2 linked regions of the Caenorhabditis elegans genome follow. The protein of the gene in region 1 interacts with the protein of each later gene in a pairwise test. Each region holds a gene or a part of one and is shown on either strand. Other genes may lie near its edges.

Region 1 (3,596 bases):
CAAATACTATAAAAACAGTGCACTGGAGTTTCTTTGTTATCCGTCAAAATGACTAAGTTGCTCCTGATCTTCCTTGTTCTGACTGCCTTCGTTTCTGCCTCATATTCCTATGGTTCTTACGGAAACCCAGCTCCGCAGTACCCCCAAAACTCGGGATATGAATACCAGATGGATTATGAGACTTGTAAGTGTGTTTGGTAGATTTTTATGATCCGAAACCCAATATTCCAGACGACTTGAAAGATTATCGCGGACCACGTGGATACCGTGGACCACCAGGACCACCAGGGCTGCCAGGAGCTCCGGGACCAGACTTGGAGTGATATAATTGACTATTGCTTTTGCAATTGAAAATGAAATAAATGAATCATAATTGGCAGTAGAAAAAATGGTACCCTTATTAAATCTGAAGCATTCACATGAAACTATAAGGGCATTGTGAAACAGGAAATGATTGATTTTCTGCTTTAACAGTCAACGTTGAAAACCAATCCTAAAACATAAAATTTGGTTGTAAAAGAATGAAAATCGCTCAAAGCGGTATCTGCGGCGCATAATTTCCAAATCAGTTTCATTTATTTTTGACGACGATTCAGAGGCTAAAAGTATCTACCTGATAACTACTCAAGTCGGGTTGATAAGTTTTTTAAGGAAATTATGAAACGGAATTTTTTTGTTTGGAAACATATTAAAATAGTACTTCTTATATCAAAATGTGTGTTTATAATTTAAAAATGAATTTCTTCTAATCTAAACAAATTTTTAATATTGAATATTTTTCCGTATTTCTTTCTGAAAATCTAATTTTAAAAAAACTATTTCTTTCTTTACATCAATTGAGAATGCAATTTGCGTCTGTATTTACAGCCAACATGAAACGGCAAGATTTAAAAAAAAAACATCAGTATCGTTGTGATCATAGCGTGTTAAGAACTTCTTTGCAAAACCAGATGAATTTTTGTTTTATTCAGGAATTTTTTTCTTGGTGCTACGGTAGCCGAATTTTACATACGAAGTTTGAAGTCTGAAGCATTCACATAAAACTATAAGAGCATCGTGAAACAGGAAATTATTTTTTCTGCTTCAACAATTAACGTTGAAAACCAGTTTGAAACCATTCAAGTTAGTTGTAAAAGTTTGAAAATTGCTCAAAAACGTGTCTGCGCCGCATAATTTGCTTATCAGATTCATTTATTTTTCGCCAACGATTCTCAGAATTGTGGCAACTAATCACTATTACAGACTAGTTTTTTGAAGACATCATGAAACTGATTCGTTTTTCGGAAACATATTAAAATAGTATTTTTATATCTGAATATTTTTTTTTTCATGCAACGATTAAGTTTTTTTTTCTTGAAACATCAATTGAATTATAAGAGCATGCTTTTTGAGAGTCTTCTTCTACTGATTGGAATCAGCAATTTTCGTCTATTTTTAAAGCCAACATGAAACGGCAAAATTAAAAAAACATTTTGCAGAGCAAGATGAATGTTTTTTTTTAATCCAGGGAGTTGCTTTCTTCTTGCGCTACGGTAGCCGAGATACCAAATCGATTAAAATCATGTGTGATGTTAGATGTCTAAACATACATGAGGTGTCCCCGGAAGTTAATCTTTACCAACGCTCCCGAATTTTCTATGTTTTCAGACATGGTTCGTCACTTCCTTATACAGTCCTGCTATAAATATTGAGCCCAAACAGATCCAGAGCATCGAAGAAAAATGATCAAGGCTTCTCTTGTTTTTTTCGCTTTCTTGGCTCTTGCTTCCGGAAGAAGACACCATTATGACTATTATGATTGTGAACGTAAGTTTTCTGAAAGCATAAAATTCGTAATCCTAAAATTCAGCTGAACGCGGGCCGCGAGGGCGTGAAGGACGTGAAGGACCACGTGGAGCTCAAGGTGCCCCAGGGCCAAACGGAACCGGATTTTTCTGGCCAGGAAGTGAGCAACTTTAAATATTTATTTTTAAACAAGGTTTACTGTTTCAAAGGATTATTAATTTATTTTCAGCATGCGAGCAATCCGATTGTCCAGACGGTTGGATCTCGGTTAATCGAAAAATCAATAATGATGTAGAAAAGAAATGGTGCATCAACATGTTCTGGAACCAAGCAACCAACGATTTATATAAAACCTCGGAAAAAGTGTGCAACAGCTATGGTGGTGTGATGACTGGATTCAAGGACAAGGGGGAATTCATTTCTGTTTTTGGTGAGTTAGGTCGTGGAGTATAAAATAGTTTTTTTTAAGTGTAACGACATTTTCCAAAACAAATGAGTTTTTGGATAGTCCATATTCCTTGCCTAAAAAAATCCTTGTAAATTGTTTACCCAAAAATGAAATTCCCAAAAAATATAAGCAGACAATTATTTTCAGCTCTACTCAAAAATCGATTCCCGAACATTAAACCTGTATCACAAGTTATGATTGGGGCACGCAGATTGGAGACATGTGCTTCGATATCGAATTTTGGCAATTGTACGATAACAAAGGTATGCATCAATCTACATGCTATATTGATCATTTGTTTTCAATCTACAACTGTACATTTCAGGGAACAAAATGGACTGATCTTGTAATGTCGATTGATTCCTTTTTCAATGAATTGCAGCAATCTGCCCGTTTCTCACCGTAAGAAACATCTCAAAGCGCAAATAAATTAATGTTTATAGATTGAAAAAATGTATTGTTGCCAATCCGACAAACTTAAAGTTATATGTGGCCAAGTGAGTTTCTCACTTATAATTATTTGATAACATAGGTATGCTTGCAGCTGCAACGTTTTGGAAAGTGACTATCCTCAGGATTTGTTCATGTGCGGAAGATTCGCTCCGTGTAAGAAATAATTTATGGAATTGTGTGTTTGCAACTATTCAAATAAATATGTCAGCATTCAATTTTAAAGCATTGAAAAATCTTTTAAAAAATTATGTCGAACGTCATAAAATAAGCCATCTCTCTAAAAATTCAGCACATTTTTTATAAAGTTGCAAGTTGAAAAAGTCAAAACTGAGCAGGCCCTCGTCTTACAAAGTTATTTTGCAACATCCGTCATTTAACGGGCTCCAACTTGTGCTTAAATGTGTCTAGCAATAATAAGAAAAATTGCAAGAAAGTTTTCATTTACTCAAACAAAATTGATCTAAAAGAGCAACATAAGACTTTGAAACTGGTTTGAGAAATTTCACTGCTACTATCAACAATATTTATGAGCCAATTCAACATGTTTTGCAGTAAAGACACGAGGAAACTTACAAAAACAAAAATTTAACTGCAAAATAAAATTGTCTTTCTAAAACTATTAAATATCATCTATTTTAAAGCATCTTTTGCACATATCGCATACGAAATAGGAGTAGTGAACGATGTTCCGCACCTGAATTTAAAGTGGTATTTTTGTTTGAAACATTATAACAACTCACTCGACATACTCTATCTTTCCGTCGTTTTCACCATTTCACCCACAACTACCATACACTGTTTGCCTTCTGTAGCGCCAGCTGAGGAATCAGTCATAAATTGATAAACATCAAAGTTTTGTACACTTTGGTCATGCCTTGTGAATCCCTGAAAAATATTTTATTAACATGCC
Region 2 (5,077 bases), on another chromosome or scaffold:
GTTATCATCGTGAGTTCTTACACACTATTTGATATCTGAAGAAATGCTCATTGTCGAATTGAATTGTTGAGTGGACCATCAGATTGACTAATCTTTTTTTTTAATGATTTCGTATTTTTAAACCGAAAATGTTTCAGAATGTTTCTATTGCAACCATTATCTATTTTGGGAAAAAATGCTACACAATCCTCAACTCTCTTGTACCACACACTAGCAAGTCTGAAAAGAATCGACGTCTTCAAAAGCAGTTGTACTTTGCTCTTGTCACTCAAACCCTCATCCCAATTGTTTTAATGCATATTCCAGTCTCTACGCTTTACTTTTCCGCGTTCTTTTGCATTGATCTTGGATCCATCAGCGGAATCGCTCCATTGGCAATTGCTCTCTACCCAACGCTTGATCCACTTCCCACTATGTTCATTATTGGACATTACAGAACTGTCGTGTTCAGTTAGTTATTAATTTATTAATATTAATTGAAATTCAAGCATTGAATATTTCAGATTGGATTTTATGGTTGCCACGAAAATTTGGAATCTGTTCCAAAAATTCGGTAAATCCTGAAATTGATGAAACAACTGTTCAAGATGGACCTGATGCAGTTACCCAAAGTAATGCAATAATTCAAGAATCACAAGTTTAATTCGGAACAATTGTAGTGTTTGCTTCAAATTTTTATAAAATTTTGAATTCAGTTGATCATAATAAACATTTATTCATTAAAATGATAATGCTTTTTTAAAGAATAGGGATTGTGAATAATGAAGAATGTTTTAAAATGTAGTAACTGTTACCTAGTTCATTACATGGTAAGTATTTATTTGCTACATTTTTCTGAGACTTTCACATTCACTACACTTTTCTCTAGAATATTTAATCCCGCTTTGATTTGATAGTCAATAATTTTACAATTTGTCTAATCATTATGAATACCACAAATATTACCAGTAAAACAAAACTCGTCAAGAATGCGATAACATCTAATAAATAATAGGCGGCAAATCCCATAGTTCGAAGATTACTATCTTGTGCCGGCTGCTCACCAAATCTGGAATTCCACGTTTTTATTAACTGTACATGTTATTGTAAACGTACCGAGCTGCAAACTCTGCATGTCTAACAAACAATTCCTTAGGTTTAGTTGGCTGATATTCCAATTTTTTCGCCAATTTCTCTGCGTTTTCCGAGTAACTTTCAGCGAAAAGTATACTATGCAAGGCAGATCGCAAGGTATTATAGTTTTCCAGATTAAATTTAGATATTTCAATTGATCCATTGTGGCGAGTGAGCATTTTTGAGTTGCGAATTTGATCGGCAAAAAGTGGGCACTAAAACTTGGATTCTTAGAGTATTCGTAATTTTTTCACTTATTTACCAAGAGCGCAGGTTTTCCGAGGTAGCTCAACTCATTGACACTTCCAAGACCTCCGTGAGTGAAAAATGCTGAGAGACGGGAATCAGCTGAAATTAGTGACTGACAAAAAGGTTTTTGATATTTTTAAGTACTTACCTAGAAGAGCCGTTTGAGGTACCCACTTGCTAAAAATTATATTTTCAGCTCCATTTGCAAAACTGGTTTCTTCTGATTCATACTTCCAAATAAAAGACACGTTTTTGAAGGATTTCATAACTTTTACCATATTTTCCCTGAAAATTAGATTTTTTGTTTTTGAACAATATAAAAGAAAATTTCAGTGGGGGAAGATAACAGTTCGATGAATGAAACACATTCAGAAAATAATTGCTCACTTACTTATAAAAATCTGGCATATAAATCGATTTGAACATTGATCCAAAAGAAATCAGCACATTATGAGGTCTCTTTTTGAGAATATTGTCCCATTTTTCATCGACTTTCTCACTTTTGAGCTTCTTCACATCTACAGTAATCCCACCAATTTCGATAGTTTTTGAAAGCAGTGGACGTGGAAAGTCTATATAAGGATTTGAGTTTATGAATACATATGGAGCACGATGGTATTCTGACTGAAATTATGAAAACAACTCTCTTTTGGTTTCAAGATCTTTCTTACCTCGACCAGCAAGTCTTTTGATGGGTCTTGAAGAGTTTTCCAGTTTGGAAATGCGATCAAAATTTGACCAAGATAGTAAGATATCGTATTTGTCAGTCGCTCTTGGAAATTCATAATGTTCCCAAAATTTGTGAAGTATCCTGTAAATTAGTAGTGTTTGACAGGAAAAATTTTAATCCAAATGCCTGATAAATAACTAGGGCTAACAGGTTCTCCAATAAGTTCTGCAAATCTGTAGTCATGTGTGATTGAAGTCACTGGGAGGAAGACTGGAATTTCGAGATATTCTTGAATTGCCTTCCCCATGAAAAAGAATGATTCGAAGAAAACTGCATCGTATTGAGGTCGATTATTCTTCAGATAATCCATTTGCGGTAGGGCATGGTCTCGGAAAGCTGAAGAGTACGGTTTTTAAATTTTTTCATAGATCTTTCAAGCGGTGTTATATGATGTTGTCAATATGACAACTGTTTCATAAATCTGAATGTTTAAAATTTTCGAGAAACGTTTTACGAGCGATTGCTTTCCAGTTAAACGACAGAAACAAGAAAAAAAGAGATCTGACTAAAAAATGATGCCCTTTTTGGAATTTGTTGCTCATGAATTCTTTTTTCTTGTTTATGTCATTGTCACATATTTAACTTACTTTTATAGCCATCTTCAGCCATTTTGAGAAACATTAAATAGCTGGGAATCGTTTCCAACATTGTGCCTTCTTGAGTCCAATACCTTGCAAAATCGTCATTTTCCATATTTTCGGTTAGTTGGTCTTGTTCTGTTGTTGTCTGAGATGCAGTTTTTATTGAAAAAAAATTAAATGCAAATTGAATTTACCTCTACGACTACTATGTCTTTTGTTGATTTTGTGTAGGAAATGTTTCGAAACTTGGATGAGATTATAATTGAGAGCACTGTCTGAAAAAATTTGATTAACTGTTCTCAAATATACTTTTAGTTTTTGTTTTCAAGGTTTTGAGACTTTCAGCATATTTCAATATTTAAGACGTACCACATTATGTCCAGCTTCTGTTAGAGAATCAGCAAGTTTTCCCATAAATGTAGAATGGCTGTGTCCAAAAGCTGGAGACACTACTAAATAGTTGAATCCCGAAGTATTCGAGATCGAAAGAACAAGCAACAAAATAATTAGTAAGTTCATGATTTGATAAGTAGACAACGAATTTGTGTCTCTGAACAACTTTCCCAGTCTCTTTTATAGATCTGTTAATGTGATTGATACTGTCACAAATTTCCCATTCTGTAGTTTGTGTTGATTATGCTACACTCCAATTATACAGTCACTTTTGAAAACATGATGTGAGTCAGAATAATCGCGAACAAACAGTTAGGTGGGTGGTAGCCCATAGTTGTCACCTGAATTGGTCTGAAAATTCCCGGCTGTCTTTGAAAATACAATTTGTTTATGGAAACGAAACATGTTCACGTGAAGATTTTGTGACTTCTTTCTGTTTTTGAACAATGAAAATTAATGCTATGACACTATCCTAATTTCCATCGTAAACAGTTTAATTGAAAAAAAAGATTCGTTATAGCATGTTTGCACTTTTGATTGGCATTGGTGTGACTTGTTGTCTAGAAATGATGGATTACGTGTTAATGATCGGAAACCGTTAAGTACATATTTGAAATTGAAAAGTGAAAAATGGGAACGGAAATTTCAAATCGCCAATAGTGGTTTTTAATTTTCTCTGTTTTTATCTGTTGTCCTTAAACAGGTTATCAACTTGTTAACTCCGTAAAGACAAAAAACTGCACAGTAGGCAAGAGGAAAGCGGGCGAAGAGGGGGTAAGAGGCGCTTTTTCAATTTTCGTATAACATTTTTTAAATAATATCAGGTGAAATTCCAACTGAAATATTTCAACGCTGAATTCTTTCCCCTCCAGCTGAACTCCAAATCCGAGCGTGAACTAACATGGGTCTTTTGTTTTTAATCAGTTAGCTGTATCCTTTTACAAGTTCTTTATTTTCAAAATATTTACCTTACTTTGAGAAAGCCGGAACTTTTTTCTTAATCATCCTATAAGTAAAAAACAGCTATAAAAAGTTAATACGCGAACACCACAAGAACACAATTTGTAAAAATGGGTTCTGTTCGAGAATATTATTTGACAAACTACACGAAATGTCCAAGATGTGACACATTTCTGTGCACCTGGCAAGAAGTTGCGTACACGTTTCATTCGATAACTATATTTTCTCTACCCTTCTACATTTTTGGAGGATACTGTATTTTATACAAAACTCCAAAGGAAATGAGCTCCTATCGAATTTTTTTATTTAAATTTTTTTATTTGAGAAATGTATTCCAGGACTTGTCTCGTGGACATTTTTCTCAATGTACTTGCTACGCCCTATCTGTTTTTCCCGACTCTCTCAGGATTTTCTGTCGGTTTACTCAACTTTTTGCGTGTCCCTCCAAAAATCCAAGTGTGGCTTGTGTTTCAGAGTTTAAATTGTTAGTTTTTCCTGGAATTCTAGAAATATAAATATGTCGATTATTATAAAAACACATTAACGGGTCGTTATAATATAGAAGCCAGTGTGCCAATGGAACGGTGTAGGGATCAGGCATACGTGCCTGGCGGATGCCTGTTTTTTATTCAGAATAATCTCCGCTCGTCGGCGCTTTAAGGCTGATTTGGAATTTTTACCACCTGCCGCTTTTTTCAAGAGCCGTTCTTTTAATTTAATTCTTCAGGGATGTTATTCTCAATGACAATGCTTTTGGAAAACCGACACAACTCAATTCTATTCAATAGATTCCAAATAACTAAAAACCGAACTAAAATCATATATTATTTGGTTCGTTATCTATCGGGTCTAATATATTCTATGTCTTTACTATTCTTCATACCAGAAGATCAAAATTCCGCACTACTCCAAGTTCTAACCAAAATACCATGCCCGTCTCAAGAATTTTTCACGGCTTCCGATGTTTTTGTATTGTGTATCGATGAGAACTACGTCACGTTCCTGGCACTATTCACAGGGATTGGTGTCTTGACAGAGATAGCTCAAATTG

Evidence for each region.
Region 2: the proteins of clec-190 (region 1) and ugt-41 interact in a two-hybrid assay, tested with the Caenorhabditis elegans proteins (one large-scale study listed by BioGRID).

What each region holds. Positions count from the first base shown.
Region 1 is NC_003282.8:15,124,234-15,127,829, reverse strand, and holds clec-190 (C-type LECtin), read left to right. Parts: upstream 1-1,708; 5' UTR 1,709-1,721; coding exon 1,722-1,806; intron 1,807-1,849; coding exon 1,850-1,945; intron 1,946-2,014; coding exon 2,015-2,215; intron 2,216-2,380; coding exon 2,381-2,496; exon of another isoform or gene 2,497-2,503; intron 2,504-2,558; coding exon 2,559-2,635; intron 2,636-2,676; coding exon 2,677-2,730; intron 2,731-2,777; coding exon 2,778-2,850; 3' UTR 2,851-2,899; downstream 2,900-3,596. Other genes in the region: M199.9 (uncharacterized protein), read left to right, coding at 49-184, 232-323; M199.7 (PAN-3 domain-containing protein), read right to left, coding at 3,437-3,571.
Region 2 is NC_003283.11:7,160,374-7,165,450, forward strand, and holds ugt-41 (glucuronosyltransferase), read right to left. Parts: upstream 3,223-5,077; 5' UTR 3,193-3,222; coding exon 3,043-3,192; intron 2,949-3,042; coding exon 2,868-2,948; intron 2,819-2,867; coding exon 2,680-2,818; intron 2,429-2,679; coding exon 2,219-2,428; intron 2,174-2,218; coding exon 2,034-2,173; intron 1,987-2,033; coding exon 1,754-1,986; intron 1,648-1,753; coding exon 1,511-1,647; intron 1,462-1,510; coding exon 1,376-1,461; intron 1,329-1,375; coding exon 1,096-1,328; intron 1,049-1,095; coding exon 874-1,048; 3' UTR 695-873; downstream 1-694. Other genes in the region: str-204 (Serpentine receptor class r-10), read left to right, coding at 1-9, 138-450, 504-643; srh-83 (Serpentine Receptor, class H), read left to right, coding at 4,137-4,311, 4,352-4,510, 4,754-5,077.